Linked DNA regions of Ovis aries. The protein of the gene in region 2 interacts with the protein of the main gene of each other region in a biochemical or structural test. Links are inferred from orthologs where the notes say so. Each region holds a gene or a part of one and is shown on either strand. Other genes may lie near its edges. The genes, in order: GRB10 and INSR.

What was found.
Region 1: the proteins of INSR (region 2) and GRB10 form a complex in vitro, tested with the Homo sapiens proteins (5 studies listed by BioGRID and IntAct). The link is inferred for Ovis aries from reciprocal best matches to the Homo sapiens genes INSR and GRB10.

What each region holds. Positions count from the first base shown.
Region 1 is NC_056057.1:5,909,536-5,917,237, reverse strand, and holds the start of GRB10 (growth factor receptor-bound protein 10), read right to left. Parts: upstream 4,791-7,702; 5' UTR 4,362-4,790; exon of another isoform or gene 4,119-4,361; intron 1-4,118.
Region 2 is NC_056058.1:13,931,581-13,939,282, reverse strand, and holds the start of INSR (insulin receptor), read left to right. Parts: upstream 1-3,016; 5' UTR 3,017-3,501; coding exon 3,502-3,601; intron 3,602-7,702. UniProt on the Homo sapiens protein: Receptor tyrosine kinase which mediates the pleiotropic actions of insulin.

The DNA.
Region 1 (7,702 bases), on a different chromosome or scaffold from region 2:
GATTATTACTGATACGGGATATAATTAAAGTCTTCATATTAGAGTGTGTTCACAACTCATAAAAGACGGGAAGAAAACACTCCCAGGGATGAAAGTTTCCCAAAAAAATAAACTAAAAGCCCCGCAGGTGGGAGAAGTGAGTACTCGCAGGGTCTCTCCCCTCCAACAAGCATCTCAGATTTGATCCAGGTGGCTGGGGGTCCCTTGCTGTTGGCAGCCACGTGACAGGTGGTCTCCAGGTACCTTCTAGGTTCTCTCTTGCAGAGTGAGACAACAGTAAGCTCGCAGCCAGGGCCAGACAGGCAGGCCGCCGGGCAGTGCCAGGGGCAGTGCGCAGACAGCTGAAGATCCCAGCCACCCAATGCAGTTTCAGTTGCAGTGACGGTGAAGAGGGCAAAAACACAGAAAACTCTTTCCAGGCCACGTGCTTTCTGAGCCTGTGCTACCCGGCGAGACTGCGGCTGTTGGTACCTGGGCCCGCTGACCTGGCTCTAAGATCCAGCCAGACTTCTGGGGGATGGAGGTTGCCAACAGCACCGCCCCAGACACGGTGCAGGAGGCACTTGGGGGCACGGGCAGCCCATCAGGATGTGCAGCTCATGTGCATTTCAGTCCCAGCTGGGATAGGTGTCTCTGCAGACTCCAGACACCGAGCACCCTGGGGTCCTGAAGACAGAGGCCACCAGGCCCCGTGTACCTGCGCCCAGCAGTCTCCATGCAGGCGTCCAGCATCACAGCGTGTCTGAGCCTGTGTATCTCAGCCACTGCAAATGTCTTGTTCCTGGGCACAAAGAACCAATTTTTGACGTCTGTCCCTCCCCATGGTCTGGTTCAAGTGGGCTGTGGCCAGGCGAGGTCTCCATCCCACCGTCTACCTCTGCTCACAGCATCCTACCCATGGGCTGCTCTGAGGCCAGGAGAGGCTTCTCACTCACAGCGACTGGTGCTGAAGGCAGAATCCAGCCAGTGACACAAGGTTTTGTACAGCTAATGGATCCAGAGACAAAAATACAAACAAAGTAGTCTTCTTTCTAATTAATAGAGAGAGACCTCGTAAATTAACAAAGAAGCATTACCCAGCATGCAAGCTATTCTAAGCCAGGCTTAGGGTCACAGACGCAGCATCTCTGAGCTCTCACCACGTACCAAGGTGCACACGACCCCAGAGGCACCCCACCTTCCCTGCAGGTCGGCACCCCTGTGACTCTCATTTTACCAATGAGCTAGTAAAAGCTAGCTCAATGAGCTCACCCAGCTGCTTAAAGAAGACCAGGAGTCCTGCTGAGGCAGAGTGCCCAGTGGAGTCATCAGTACCATCCACCCACTTGGGCAAAAGCAGAAAAGAGCAACATGGTGGCAAAGGAGATGCTAAAACACACAGTCCAACCTGGCAGAGGGAGCCCAAATGAGAAACCCCTCAAAGCAGGGGTCTGAACAATCAAGGCAATCACGCCCCAAGCCAGATGTCAAGTCACTGGTGGAAAAACAGGAGCAATATTCAAGTTTTCCCAGTCGCACCCAGTCATGACCCACTAACTTCATCCTATGCATCTGGGCAGGGATTCTAAAGCAAGACTATGACTTAAGTTATTTCTACCTCAACATCCACCCCTTTCCCAGATGAACAAAAGAGCACTCAAGCAGCCCAGGCTCCGTTTATTCTCAAGCCCACCTCTCCCACTAGAGGAGCAAAAAGGGGTATCTCCTCGGAGTTGTTTTATCCCCAAAGCAGAAAGTCATGAGCACTCATTTCTAACTCTGGGGTGATTTTTGATGGCTTTTTTTGGTCTCAAAACCAGTCGTCCCATTTTTCCTTATGTTATTACAGAAAAGCCATCAGACTGGTGATTTTAAGCATTACCTGTTCTCATCCCCTTACAGTCAACAAGACACGATCATCAGGAGCACGGACACCAAACAGAGAAGGTGGGAGAACAGACAGCTCCCCAGAAACGTGCCATGAAGTAGTAACACAATGTAAAAGCCAGCCAGCGCCTGAACGGGTGCGATCAGTTTTACACCCGTTGGTACAAAGACCTTGTTGACGGTTCCCAGGTCCCCAAAGCACCCATTTGCCCACCAAGTCACTTGTCTGTTCTAACATCTTCCTTAATCTCCCAAACGCCCAGTTAAGCAAAAGATAAAGACAGGTGAAATAAAGTCTCAACAAGCAGAAAAAGTTTTAGTGAAATTATGAACATATGACTGACTACATACATGAAAAGCAAAACAAATGTTTTCTCTTTATAGATCCACATGATTCCACGTTGGTTTGACAGCATGAGAAACTGACAAAGGCATCACACCCCAAGCCGTGAACACACACACTTCCTCCCACGAAGCAGGACAGAACTCGCTACAGTCAGTGTCAGAGTTCCGACAGGCGGACCAGCCCACCACCACGCGTGGCTCTTTTCACCAGCGGTTAAGAGTTGGACCGAATTCCAAGGAAATAAGTTCCTTAAACTATGTCATCTTGAAACTTTTATCAGCTATACCAACCTAGAATTTCTAAAGCTGTAAGAGGAAGGTAAAGGCACAGCGGATGTCTTTGTTCATGCAGGAGCTTGGTTTCTATACATTGTCAAGACTTAGAACAGCCTCATCATCCAAATCAAAAGTTCAAGAGTCTGGCTTTGTTCCCCTCTCCTGTTTGAGGCTCAGTGGCCACAGAGATGGTCACTGTGACTGGGCCAGGGCTGTCCAGGTTCCGATCCTGGCAGCTACCACGCTACAAGCCCTGGCATGAATCTGCCCAGCTCCAGGTTCCTAGTCCACAATGAAAGGCATTTTGCCCAGTCCAAAAGCTACACACACCACAGGCAATACGCTCTAGATGATTTTAGCGGGGCACAGCTTTTATTAAAACACAGTTCTTATTACAGTAAACATAACCACCATATCAGACTCATGACTCTGTGGTATCAAAATTTCCTTCCAAAACAAATTCGTATCTAAGCACAAAAAGTGAGCGGAGAAAAGAAAACACTGATAATAGCCTAGTGATAGGGCAGGTATCCAGGAGCCACGGGAATGGGAACAGAGTCTGCCGGTTCTCCGGGTGTCTGACCAGCCCAGGGACGCTCCTAGGCCATTTCTCTTTCAGATGCACAGAAGCATGAACCACAGACAACTGGGAAAAAACAAACAAAAAAAAGAACCCAAAGCTTAGGATCTGGTGACAGCTTTGGCATTTGCCAGCCATGTGATCGGACATGCATTTGTTAACCTCCTGAGCCTGGGTTTGTGCGTGTCTGATTCTTTGCCACCCCACGGACTAGCCCACCTCCTTGGTCCATGGGATTCTCTAGGCAAGAATACAGGACTGGGCTGCCATTTCCTACTCCAAGGGATCTTCCTGAATCAGGGGCCAAACCTGAGTCTCTTATATCCATCTCCTGCATTACTTGGTGGGTTCTTTACCACTAGCGCCACCTGAAAGCCCAAGCCTCAATTTCCAAACCTGTAAAATGGGGAGCAGGAGGCTGCAGAGGATTAAAAGTAATCAGGCTTTGAACGTGTGCCATAGACAGTGAAATGCCACACAAGTATCCCTTGCTGCACTTCTCAGTTACTTCTCAGTTGCTGGGTGTGTGACTGTCCTCAAATTCCCTCCCCGAGACCTGGGGGTTGGCCTGTGTGGCCATCTCTTTCAAATGTTTCCAGTAAAACTCAAATATTATATGCAATAATCCTAGAATTCTGATTCTTAACCGGAAAACCTAGTCATCTAGAATCATTCCTGGAAACACTTCGGTTTCAGAGCTTTTTTCCTAACAAAATACTTAACCTAAAAGACACCACCATCGCCAGAAGTCAGAACTTCTTTTGCCACAGAAACCTAGAACCTATCTATTTTTCCTCCTGGAAAGAACGAAGGAATCAGCGAGTCAACTCATGAAAAACGTCCGACTTGGTGCTGTAAACCCTAGTCAACGCCTGTTGCTGTGTTAACATGTGTTCTTAGTAAAACTGAGCGAAACGTTAGAGAAAGCACCACTTTGGAAACTCGGGGGCTCCGAACCGCTGAATCAGCATTTCCAGAAACAAAGTGTTCTGGGTTAGGCCTTGTAAACAGCAGCAAAGAGCAAGTTGTGCAACAACGCGTGTTTACTCACTAGCGCTACTTGTTTGGGTCTTTTCTCCGCATCTCTTGAATGAAGCTGGGGACAACATTTGCAAGAAAGCTTTCTCTCCAACGAATGCATCAGAAAGATCCGGGCCCGGGCAAAGTCACCTGTGGCTTCCCTACGTGACCCACCGTCTCACCGAGGCAAATGACAGAAACTTGGCGTGTCTTCCAACCCCAAGACAAGAAAAACACAATAAAAAGTAGAGAATGTCTCATTTCCATAACGCACATGCTCCAGGGCCGTCCTCAGGCAGGCGCGGGGAGAGGCGATCCGGAGGCCGAGAGTTGCATCAGAATCGCCTTCGGAGAACCGCACAGCTCTTATCACATTTCCCCGGCTGGCGGGCCGCTAACCCGCGAACCCTCGACTTGGGGTTAGGCCCCGGGGGAGGGGAAACGGGTCGCCAGCAGAACCAAAGGGAAAGATCCCAGGATCTGGCTCGCTCCAGCTCCTGAGGGTCCGGCCCCACCGCGCGAGCACGGGCGCACCGGGGGCTGCAGGGGCGCGCGGCGCCCACCCTCCAGGCGATCCGGGAGCGCGGCCTTGGCCCCGACCGCCCGGCGGCGCAGCCCCCACCCCGGCCCGGCCAGTGAGCCGCCGGCGTCGGACAGGAGGGCTCCAGAGGGCGCCGCCCGGGCTCCCCGGCTCCGCGGGGTCGCCGACGCCGAGCGCCGCGCCCGGTCCCCGCCCTCGCGCGCCGCAGCCCCCGGCCCGAGGCGACGCCCTTCCGCCCGCCGCGCCCCCGCGGCGCCCGGCGTCCCCGGCCCGGGCGGCCCGCGCGCAGACAATGACGCCGGGACTGCAGCCCGCCCGCCCGCCGGCCACAAAGTAACTTGGCGCCTCGCTCGCCGCCCAACTCCCTACCTGCCACGGCGCCGTTCGCTGCCGCCTCCGCCTGGCCGCCCGCGCCCCTCGGCGCGGCCGGGGCGGCGCGGGTCCCGCGGGGCAAGGGCGGCGCGCAGGGCGGTCCCGACCCCCGCGTGCCGCCGCCCGGGGACCGCGCGCAAACTTTGGCTCCGCGGCTTCCGAGCGCCCGCCCGCCGCGGCGCGCCGCTCGCGCTCCTTCCTGCCGCCTCCCGGCCTCCCCACCCCCTCGATGGGCTTTAAACCCGCCCGGCCCCGCCCGCCGCCGCCGCCGCCGCCGCCGCCTCCGCCTCCGCCGCCTCCGCCTCCTCCCCCGGTCGCTTTTCCTGCTCCTCCTCCCGCCGCCGCCGCTGCTGCCACCGCAGCCCGGACCGCTCGGGGCCGCCAGCGCGGGCAGGGCCGCGGCCTGGGCGCAGGGCGGGTCGCGGAGGGAGCTCGGGGAGCCGGCGGGGTGCGGCGCCGGGCGCGGGGCCGGGCGCTCCCGCAGGTCGCTGCTGCCGGGGGCTGGCACGGGGGACTGGAAGCCGGCAGCTGGGCGTGGGCGCCCGGACCCCTGGTCCCGCTCTTGGGACTCGCGGACGTAGAACCGCGACCACCCAGCCTGGAGCGCCCTCGAAACACACATCAGACCTCTCCTGGAAGGCAATTTGCAAGCGAATTCTTTGAAACTCAAGTTGAAACTGTGCGGCCCCATTCCCCGTCCCGGGCGCAGCGGGAAGACTGGACGGAGAAGCCTGAGGAGCGGCTGCTGCACTGGCTGTGCCTTGGGCGGCGGTTCCGCGTGGGACCGGGGAACCTGGGCTTCAGCGTCCGCCCGCCGCTGGCGGAGTCTGGAGCCTTGACCCCTCGTAGCCACAGTTTCCCTATCTGCGTACCCGCCCCGGAGCGCGCGTGGAGTGGGAGGCCCTGTTTATTTTCTGTATACCAACGGGCCTCAACGTCCTTAGCTTTGCAATAGGCTAATAAGCCCGCCTACGAGTAATGTCCTGAGGGTTAAATGAGATGTTAACTTGTAACATAAAGCGAAAGGTAAGAAGGAACCCCTACGTTCATCGACACCGTTGTAATTAACATGATTATTAATATTTCTATCGAATCAAAATTATAATACAAATAGGATAATAACAATAATTATGTCTTTTTCTGGGATTTGATATTATAAAAACAGCTGCAGTAATAACTTACCTTCATTGAGCGTGCGTTTTGTGCCAAACATTTCATTAATCCTCTGCTTTCACCCTCTGAGCTTGTTACTAGGAGATGCCCACTGCACAGGCGAGGAAACCCAGTCGCCCAGAGGTTAGATAATTTGCCGAAGGTCAGAGACATTACTTTGCCAACAAAGGTCCGTCTAGTCAAAGCTTGGTTTTTTCCAGTAGTCATGTATGGATGTGAGATTTGAACTATAAAGAAAGTTGAGCGCTGGAGAATTGATGCCTTGAACTGTGGTGTTGGAGAATTCTTGAGAGTCCCTTCGACTGCAGGGAGATCCAACCAGTCCATCCTAAAGGAAATCAGTCCTGAATATTCAATGGAAGGACTAGTGCTGAAGCTGAAACTCCAATACTTGGGCCACCTGATACAAAGAACTGACTCATTTGAAAAGACCCTGATGCTGGGAAAGATTGAAGGCAGGAGAAGAAGGGGAGGACAGAGGATAAGATGGTTGGATGGCATCACTGACTCAATGGACATGAGTTTGAGTAAGCTCTGGGAGTTGGTGATGGACAAGGAAGCCTGGTGTGCTTCAGTCTATGGGGTGGCAAAGAGTCGGACACGCCTGAGCAACTAAACTGAACTGAACTGAAGTAGCTCCTAAGTGCAGAATAAGGATTCTGCCACAACCCTTTAGGGCACTTTTTATAACTTTTGTGTTTCCCACCTTTGGCCTGATTTATCCAGGAGAATTCATCCTTTCTTGAAACTGAAATAAGCATCCTGAAAATATCTCCCCATTGGTCCAGGTTCAGAAAACCCTAAGATGAAACATCTAGAGAGTAATGCAAAGGAACTTAGTTCCTGGAAGAACTTAACTGGACACAAAGATTCCTGTAATAGACAAAGGATCCAGAGCAAGTTAAAGGGGGAAAAGTCATGGGCCAGTTCTGGAGAGCCATGTAAGTTTGACTCTTAAGAGTTTTGTCAAAGGTTCCAGTCAGCAAGGAGACTGAACCAGCCAGAAAGCCTGATAGACAAAGGGCTTTTATAGGTGTTTGAAAACCACCTTATATGTAGACATAGTTTCCTGGATTATTTCTAAGTAAATTCCATACACTAAAGCCCCTTACCCCTACATATGGGCTTGTCAATGGTAAAGAATGCTTCTAATGCAGGAGACGGGGGGTTGATCTCTGGCTTGGGAAGATCCTCTGGAGAACGGAATGGCTACCCACTCCAGTATTCTTGTATAGAAAATTCCATGGACAGAGGAGCCTGGTGGGGTACAGTCCATGGTGTCACAAGGAATCAAGCGTGACTTAGTGAACAAACTCATGTATATCATGATAAGTCCTTCCTATGAGTAGGGATATTATCTATCATAATCACAGTACAATTACAAAATTATAGCTTAATAATGATAAACTATGTGCATCTATTCTTGGTCCAGATTCCAATTTTGCTAGTTGGCCTGACAGTGTTCCTTATGGTATTTCTTTCCCCTCCCTTAAAAGATCCACTCAAGACTCAAGTGTCATATTTAGCTG
Region 2 (7,702 bases):
CCCAATAATTTATTTTATTGCAAAAGAAAATCCAGGAGTAACTTTGATCATTTTGTTAAGCCAGATTTTTCTTTCACAAAGCTACCATTTTTCTTTTTTTGGACAAACATGCTGCGAAGAGATACTTGCAGACCATGGAAATACCCCATTACTTTTCAAGCTTCCAACCATCACTTTTAACGTTCATTGATGGCTCTTGCCAGAATCAATTATTTTGGAAATTAGCAAATGGTGATTTTCTACTTTCATTCCAATGCTTTTAAGAAGAGGCAGAGGTTGACTTTCATTTTTTATATCCTGGTATTTTTTTTGAGGGGGTGCGGGGGTAGCTTACAGAAGAAATAATGAGCTTTTTTTCTTCTGGAAGTGGAGGTGTCTTCATTTTCTCCCAGTAAGCCACAACTACAACGATTCTTCTGACTTTATACCCAGCTTTATGTGGAGGTCTTGCATCCTGAAGGATTTCCAGAGGGCAGTATGTCCCTTGGAATTTTAGCAAATGCCACCTGCTTGAAATTGTTGGTGGCTTTTCAGTCAGTTGACTTCAGTCGCTCAGTTGTGTCTGACTCTTTGCAACCCCATGGACTGTAGCATGCCAGGCTCCTCTGTCCATGGGATTTTCCAGGCAAGAATACTGGAGTGGGTAGCCATTCCCTTCTGCAGGGGATCTTCCAGACCCAGGGTCCAACCTGGGTCTCCTGCATTGAAGGCAGATTCTTTATTGTCTGAGCCACCAGGGAAGCCCAACCCTTTGGTATAAACCCTTTAATGCATCCTTGTTGCTTTTAGGATAAAGGGTGTGTTGAAGACAACCCATACATGGTATATCCCTTTTAGTCTCGCCTACCAGCCCAGCCTTCCCCTTTTCTTTCTTTGCTTTCTTTTCTCCAGCTACAGTGCCTGGCTCAGTTGTGAGAACACTGGCCTGTCCTCTGGGCCTTTGCACACGCCGTTCCCTCCACCTGGAACATTTTCTTGATGCTTCCCTGGGCTGGCTCTCTCTCCTCAGATTTCAGTTCAAAATCACCTCTTTGGAGAATCCTTCTGCCTCTCCCCACCTCACCTTATAAAACATCTGATGTGCGACTTAATGGCTTTCTCCTTACACTGGGTTGTGAGGTCTACAAGGAAATGAATGGTGTTTATTTGGCTCCCTGCGAATCCCCACTGCTTACTGCATGTTGATTTTTCCGCTCAACAAATATTTATTAAGCAATGGATATGTCAGTCACTGGGTGTAAAATACTGAACATGATGGACAAGATTTCTGCCTTCCTGGGGAGGGGTGAATACACACAATAAGTCAGAATTTCAGGTAGAGACACCAGCGTGCTGTCTGGACAGGAACAAATGGAGGAGGGGACAGGGAGTGTTTGCAAAGTTGGTCAGGGAAGGCTCACTGGAACAGACAAGTGGAGCCAGACACCAGAAGGACAGGGGAGGCAGGAATAGACTTGAGTTAGAAGAACAGTGGGCCCATCTACTGGCAAACTAATATTTGTTTAATAGATGAAAGGAAGAATGAATGCCCTCAGCCAACAGTTGTTCTGGGTGCTTTGTCATGCTTTATTTCCCCTGGGAGACTGTGTGTGTGCATGCGTGTGCGTGCTCCGTTGTGTGTGTGTGTGTGTGTGTGTGTGTGTGTGTGTGTATGCACACGAGCTCAGTCATGTCGAACTCTTTGCGACTCCATGGACTGTAGCCTGCCTCTACCCATGGGATTTTCCAGGCAAGAATACTGGAGTGGGCTACCATTTCCTCCTCCAGGGGATCTTCCTGACCCAGGAATCTAACCTGCGTCTCCTGCATTGGTGGGCAAATTCTTTACCACTGAGCAACCTGGGAAGCCCTTGCTGCTGCTGCTGCTACTGCTGCTAAGTCGCTTCAGTCGTGTCTGACTCTGTGCGACCCCATAGTCGGCAGCCCACCAGGCTCCCCTGTCCCTGGGACTCTCCAGGCAAGAACACTGGAGTGGGTTGCCATTTCCTTCTCCAATCCATGAAGGTGAAAAGTGAAAGTGAAGTCGCTCAGTCCTGTCCGAGTCTTAGGGACCCCATGGACTGCAGCCTACCAGGCTCCTCCCTCCATGGGGTTTTCCAGGCAAGAGTACTGGAGTGGGGTGCCATCGCCTTCTCCGGGAAGCCCTTACAACTCACCAAATCTGACCTGAAGGTGTCCTTACGTGCATCATACAGATGAGGCCCATCGAGAGAGAGAAAAATTACTCATTCAAGCAGATTCTCACTCCGTTCTGGCTTCTCTGTGCTTAAGGCCCCTCTTCAGCAGGCGGGGTGGCCACTGTCACGTGACTGACGTTCAAACACACACGGACTCTGGGTCTGCGCATTGAAACTTGGGTGTGTCCACCTGTGTTCTACCGAAGATCTCCAGCGCCTGGTTTGCACTTTTTTTTTTTTTTGCTAGTTTCTACACTTTCTCCTAAGGGTCATTTCTCCACCTTGAACCACGCATCGTGCGGAGGGGCCAGGCTACCCAATACTTGAGCGCACGCGGCACGCTCGTGCACGTGGCTGTCCCCAGGGGCCTGGCTCTGGGCGGGGGCGCACTCTGGGGTAGGACATCCGGGGCGCTCGAGGGCCATACTCACTGGCCAGACTGTGACGAGGGGAAGGTGAACGCAACATTTAAGGGAGTACCAAAAAGCCGAGTAACCACGATAAACAATATTTTAATGCAATATTTAAAAAAATAAAAATGAATTTTCTAAAGTCCCACGAAGAACAAACTAGCAAAATGTTTTAAACACGCGATCCGACTTGCTGAGTTGGTCAATCTGGGGCGCTCCCGGGCTCTGAGACAGGAGTCCTGGGGCTGTACGGGGCGCTGGGGCTGGGCAGGCATCTAGGGCGCCCCCTCGGCTACGGCGCGACGGGGGCCTCCAGCGCGGGGCCCAGGATAGGGAGACCGGCGGGCGGGCGGGGCGGCGCCTCCCCCCTGCCCGTCCTCCTTCCACCCCTCTCGGGCCTCTGCCGGGCGCCGAGTCCCTTCCGAGCCCAGATCCGCGCCGCCTTTTCCCGCGGCCCGAACGGGGCCCAGCTGACGGGCCGCGTTGTTTACGGGCCGAGCAGCCCTGGCTCCCGCCGCCTGCCCGCCACCCGCCAGCCCAGGTGCCCGCCCGCCTGTCCGCACGTCCGTTTGTCCGCGCGTCCGAAGATCGGAGCTCCGGAGCGCTCGGGGCCAAGAGCCTAGAGTCAGGGGGGCGCAGCGCGGGGCTCCGGGCCCTGAGATCGTCGGGACGGGGGCGCGGGCCGCGGGGGCCCGGAGTCGGGACCGTCTCCACCCGGCCGCGCTGCCGGATTCGTAGCAGCGGAGGCCGCGCGCCCCTCCCGGGGCCGTATCTAGAGTCCTCCCGGGCGCAGGCTGCGGGACCTTGGGCTGCCCGCGTGGAAGAGAAGGACGCGCGACCCCCAGCGCCTCTGGGGCGGCCGCCTCGGAGCATGCACCCCGCCAGCCAGCGCCCCGCGCTCTGATCCTTCAGCCATGGGCGCCGGGGGCGGGAGCGGGGCGGCAGCCGTGCTGCTGCTGGTGGTCGTCGCCGCGCTGCTGGTGGGCGCCGCGGGCCACCTGTACCCTGGAGAAGGTGAGTCTGGGGGGTCCCGGAGCGGGCGGGAAGCCGCGCGGGTGGGGAGGGGACCCTTTGCCAAAATGGAACCACCCCCCGTTGTGGACGGAGTGCCGTCCTCCGTCGGAGGGCTGGTGGCTCGGACGGTTTCTCCGGCCTCGCGGGGGGCGGGAAGCCGCTGACCTTGGCCTTTGCCCGCCTGGGCTAGCGGTTCCACGACCCGCATGCGGCCCGGGGCTGGAGGAACCTTGCCCTAGTGCCCGCCCCTCCGCGGGCGCCTCTCCCGAGAGCGCTCCTCGAACCCCCGTGTCTGGGCCTCTCTGAGCCCACCACCTGGCTCCAGAGACGGGACACACGTCCTCTCTGGGTCGCCTCCGAGAAGTAGGGTCATCGGACACTCTCACACAGCCAAATGCCCCGGGCACAGACGGTTTGGAGTGAGAATCGAGGGTGACTGACTGAAGGCAGGGTGGTCCCTTGAGATCCCAGCAGCTTGGTGACGCTCCCCCAGGGGCCGAGGAAGTGTAGAACCCGCCCCTTTCTTTCTGGTATCTAGACCCACGGCTACCCCTGACTTCAGGTCCATGTTTATACTCTGGAATTCTGTTTCCAGATGTCGGAGGCAAGCTCTAGCCCTTGGCAACAGCGCAGCTGTAGTAGCAGTAGTGTTGGCTTTTATGATTATTATAGCTGGTGTCACCAGATGCCTCGGGCTGGCCGGTCTTATCTGTCTGGATCTCTGCAGCAGCCCGTGGAGGCTGATACTGTTGTTGGTCCATTTCATAGAGGAGTAAACTGAGGCTCAGGAAGGACACAGAATTCACTTGCCCCAGAATCAGAGCTAGAGAGAAGACAAACCTCTCTGGCTCTGCCCAGGGCTCTGCCCAGCTGCCCACGCCCCAGGAACCCCTGGTAACCTCCCTCCTCTACCTTTTTACCTGTCAGCTGGGCAGGTCTCTAATCTGTGGTCAGCCCAGCACCTTGCCCCCTCTCCCTTCCAATTCTCCCTCATGAGTGTCCCTGGGCTAGCAGCTCCCTGGTATGGGGAGAGGGGTAAGTCCCAGCATTTTCCTTGGGCTTGACAGCACGTCTTTCTGGCTGCAGGTCAAGGATGGAAAATCCTTGAAGAGAATATAACTGGGGTTTCCCACCATGATGGCGGAGGCCCTGCTTTCAAAATATGTGTTGGGTTACTTCTTCAGATTTCTCCATAAAAGGAAATCAGTCCCGATGAGGAAGGGGTCAGGCAGGGAAGGAACAGAAGTTCCTGAGTTGCCTGTCGGTGAGTGGGGATGCACGAGAAAGCACGTGGGGGCTCTGGAGTTGACAAACCGGGTTTGTGGAGCACCTTTGCCAATTAGGCAACGTCTCCAAGCACCCAAGTGCCTGGTATACAGTGAGTGCTCCTCCAAGGAAGGGTAGCAGTGGATTTAGGCTCTTGTTAGAAAAAAAACACACACACACACACACACAAAAACCCAGACCAGCTGTTAGATCTGTGTCCGGCTTTGTGTGTCCATGCCCGTGTGTGTCTGTGTGTGGGTGCACATCTGTATATGCATGCAGTTCCTTGCTCCTCTGTTCCTGGTAGCTTTAGGAATTAATGGTGGATTTGTGCCTGGGCTGGCTTTCCTGGTGGCTCAGATGGTAAAGAATCTGCCTGTAGGAGCCTGGGTTTGATCCCTGGATCGGGAAGATCCCCTGGAGAGGGGAATGGCTATCCACTCCAGTATTCTTGCCCAGAGAATCTCATGGACAGAGGAGCCTGGTGGGCTACATACAGTCCATGGGGTCCCAAAGAGTCCGATACGACTGATCGACTTTCACTTTCAGGGGTCAGTGGATGGATTTGCCACTTCTTGCATGTTTATAGCTTCCACGAGGGAGAGGCTTATGTTTCTCTGTTCACTGCCACAGTTCCAGAGTCTAGAGCAGCCCCTGACACCTAGGAGATGCTTGATACATTTATTTATTTTGACCGTGCTGGGTCTTCATTGCTGTGCTGGGCTTTTCTCTAGGTGTGAGGATCGAGGCTACTCTGTAGTTGCTGTGCATGGGATGGGCTTCTCATTCCAGCGGCTTCTCTTGTTGTGGAGACCGGGCTCCAGGGCACGCGGCTTCAGTAGTTGTGGCTCGTGTGCTCAATAGTTGTGGCTCCCTGGCCCCAGAGTGCAGGCTCAGCAGCTGTGGCACTCGGGCTTAGCTGCTCTGCAGCACATGTGGTCTTCCCATACCAGAGGTCGAACCCCTGTCCTCAGCATTGGCAGGAGGATTTGTCGCCCTTGGACCACCAGGGAAGTCCTAAATATTTGTTCTAGATCCAACTCCTGTCCTTCCTGTTCTTCCCAGGAGTCCAAGTCATGGCTCCTTTATTCTTCAGATAAAACCTAGCTGACACAAATACAAGCAAATTCTACACACTCGGCATTGATAATCTCGATTAATCCTCACCACAGCCCTCCGAGGTAAGGTTTATCATCCATTTCGAAGGTGAGGAACTTGGATGAGGTGGCAGTGCTGAGATGAGAACTCCGGTTTGTTAATAAAAGGTTTCTTAACAGAAGGTTCTTCTTGGGACTCTGAGCCTCCCCGCCCTAACCCCTGTGGTATAAAGGTTAACAAAATACTCTCGAATAAATGACATGTGATGCCCTTCGGAGGTTTGGGGAGGGGCAAGGAACTTTCCGGATCGTTGGTTAATCTCCAGCAGCAAGCAGTGTGGCATTCTGTCTGGGGTGGGGGTGGGGTCGATGGAGATCAGTGGGATTTTGAAGGACTGAGGACTCTCTCCTCGATGTCACATGGGATGGGCCAGCCCATTTCATCCCCCCTGTGGAGTCTCTGTGGCTTGGCTGAACTGGGCAGTGGTTTTCCCTCCCATGTCTCCTTGGGTTGACCCACTCTGGCCCGAGATGACCCAGGAGCACTGCAAAGTCAGAGAATGAAGGCAAAGTGGGATTAATTATAGTGGAAACTGAATCTTGGCAGGGGCAGTGAATTGATGAGTTGAGGTGCTAGATGTTGCTTTTGGATCCCCTTACATCTCGAGGTGGAATCTAGTGTTTCTCTTGTGGTTCTCTGGTGCACTCTGGGACCCTCAGATCAGAACTTCTGCTCTCTGGGTCAGTTCTCTGAGGTTCTTCCTAGTCTTTGCTTCCCTCCTGGTGACCTGCCTCTCGACCCTGCCCTGCTCATTCATAGAGGTCACTGGGGGCGAGCCTCACCCCATGGGCCCCCACCTCACTCCACTTCCTCATTGACATCCTTTATTTTTTGGCTAGAATAGACCTTCTCAATTTCTGTGCTCTTGATCTATGAGGTTGGATAGTTCTTGGTTGCAGGGGGCTGTCTTGTGTATCTTAAGATGTTGCTCACTGTCTGCGGTCTCTGACCAGTAGCAACGCCCCTCTCCAAGTCATGACCACTAAAAAGTGTCTGCAGACACCACCAACTGTCCTCTGATTGAGAACCACTGCTTTTGGTGCTAGTGGTAAAGAACCTACCTGCCAATGCAGGGGACACATGAGGTGTGGGTTCAATCCCTGGATCAGGAAGCTCCCCTGGAGGAAGGCATGGCAACCTGCTCCAGTATGCTTGCCTGGGAAATCTCATGGACAGAAGACCCTGCCAAGCTGCAGTCGATGGGGTCATAAAGAGTCAGACACGACTGAAGTGACTTAGTATGCAGGACACTTATCCACTTAGGTCCCCTCCTCTCTCCCCTCTGTTCAGGGATCTCCATCCACCCAGAAGCCTTTTTCTTTTCAGCCTATAAACACTCAATACTCCCCAGGACCCCGGTACCCACCACCCACCTTTTGCCTTCCTCTGTCAAGCCTCCCCCAACCGCTGATGGGCACTCATCACCCTTGCTCTCTCACCTTTCACCCACTGCTCTGCCCACAGCATCTGGCTTGTGTCTCCATTGCTTTGCCCATGGTGCTAACCAAAGTCATTCCTCACCTACCAATGGCAGCCTCACCCCAGCTGACTTCTCTGGGTTTTGCTTCCCCTCTCCTGGTGAGTTTTCACCTGTCCCTGGCTCCTCCCATTCTCTCTCTTCTTTTCCTCTGCTCCTTTTCCGGGCTTATTATCTTGGCCTTCATTGACGGCCATTCC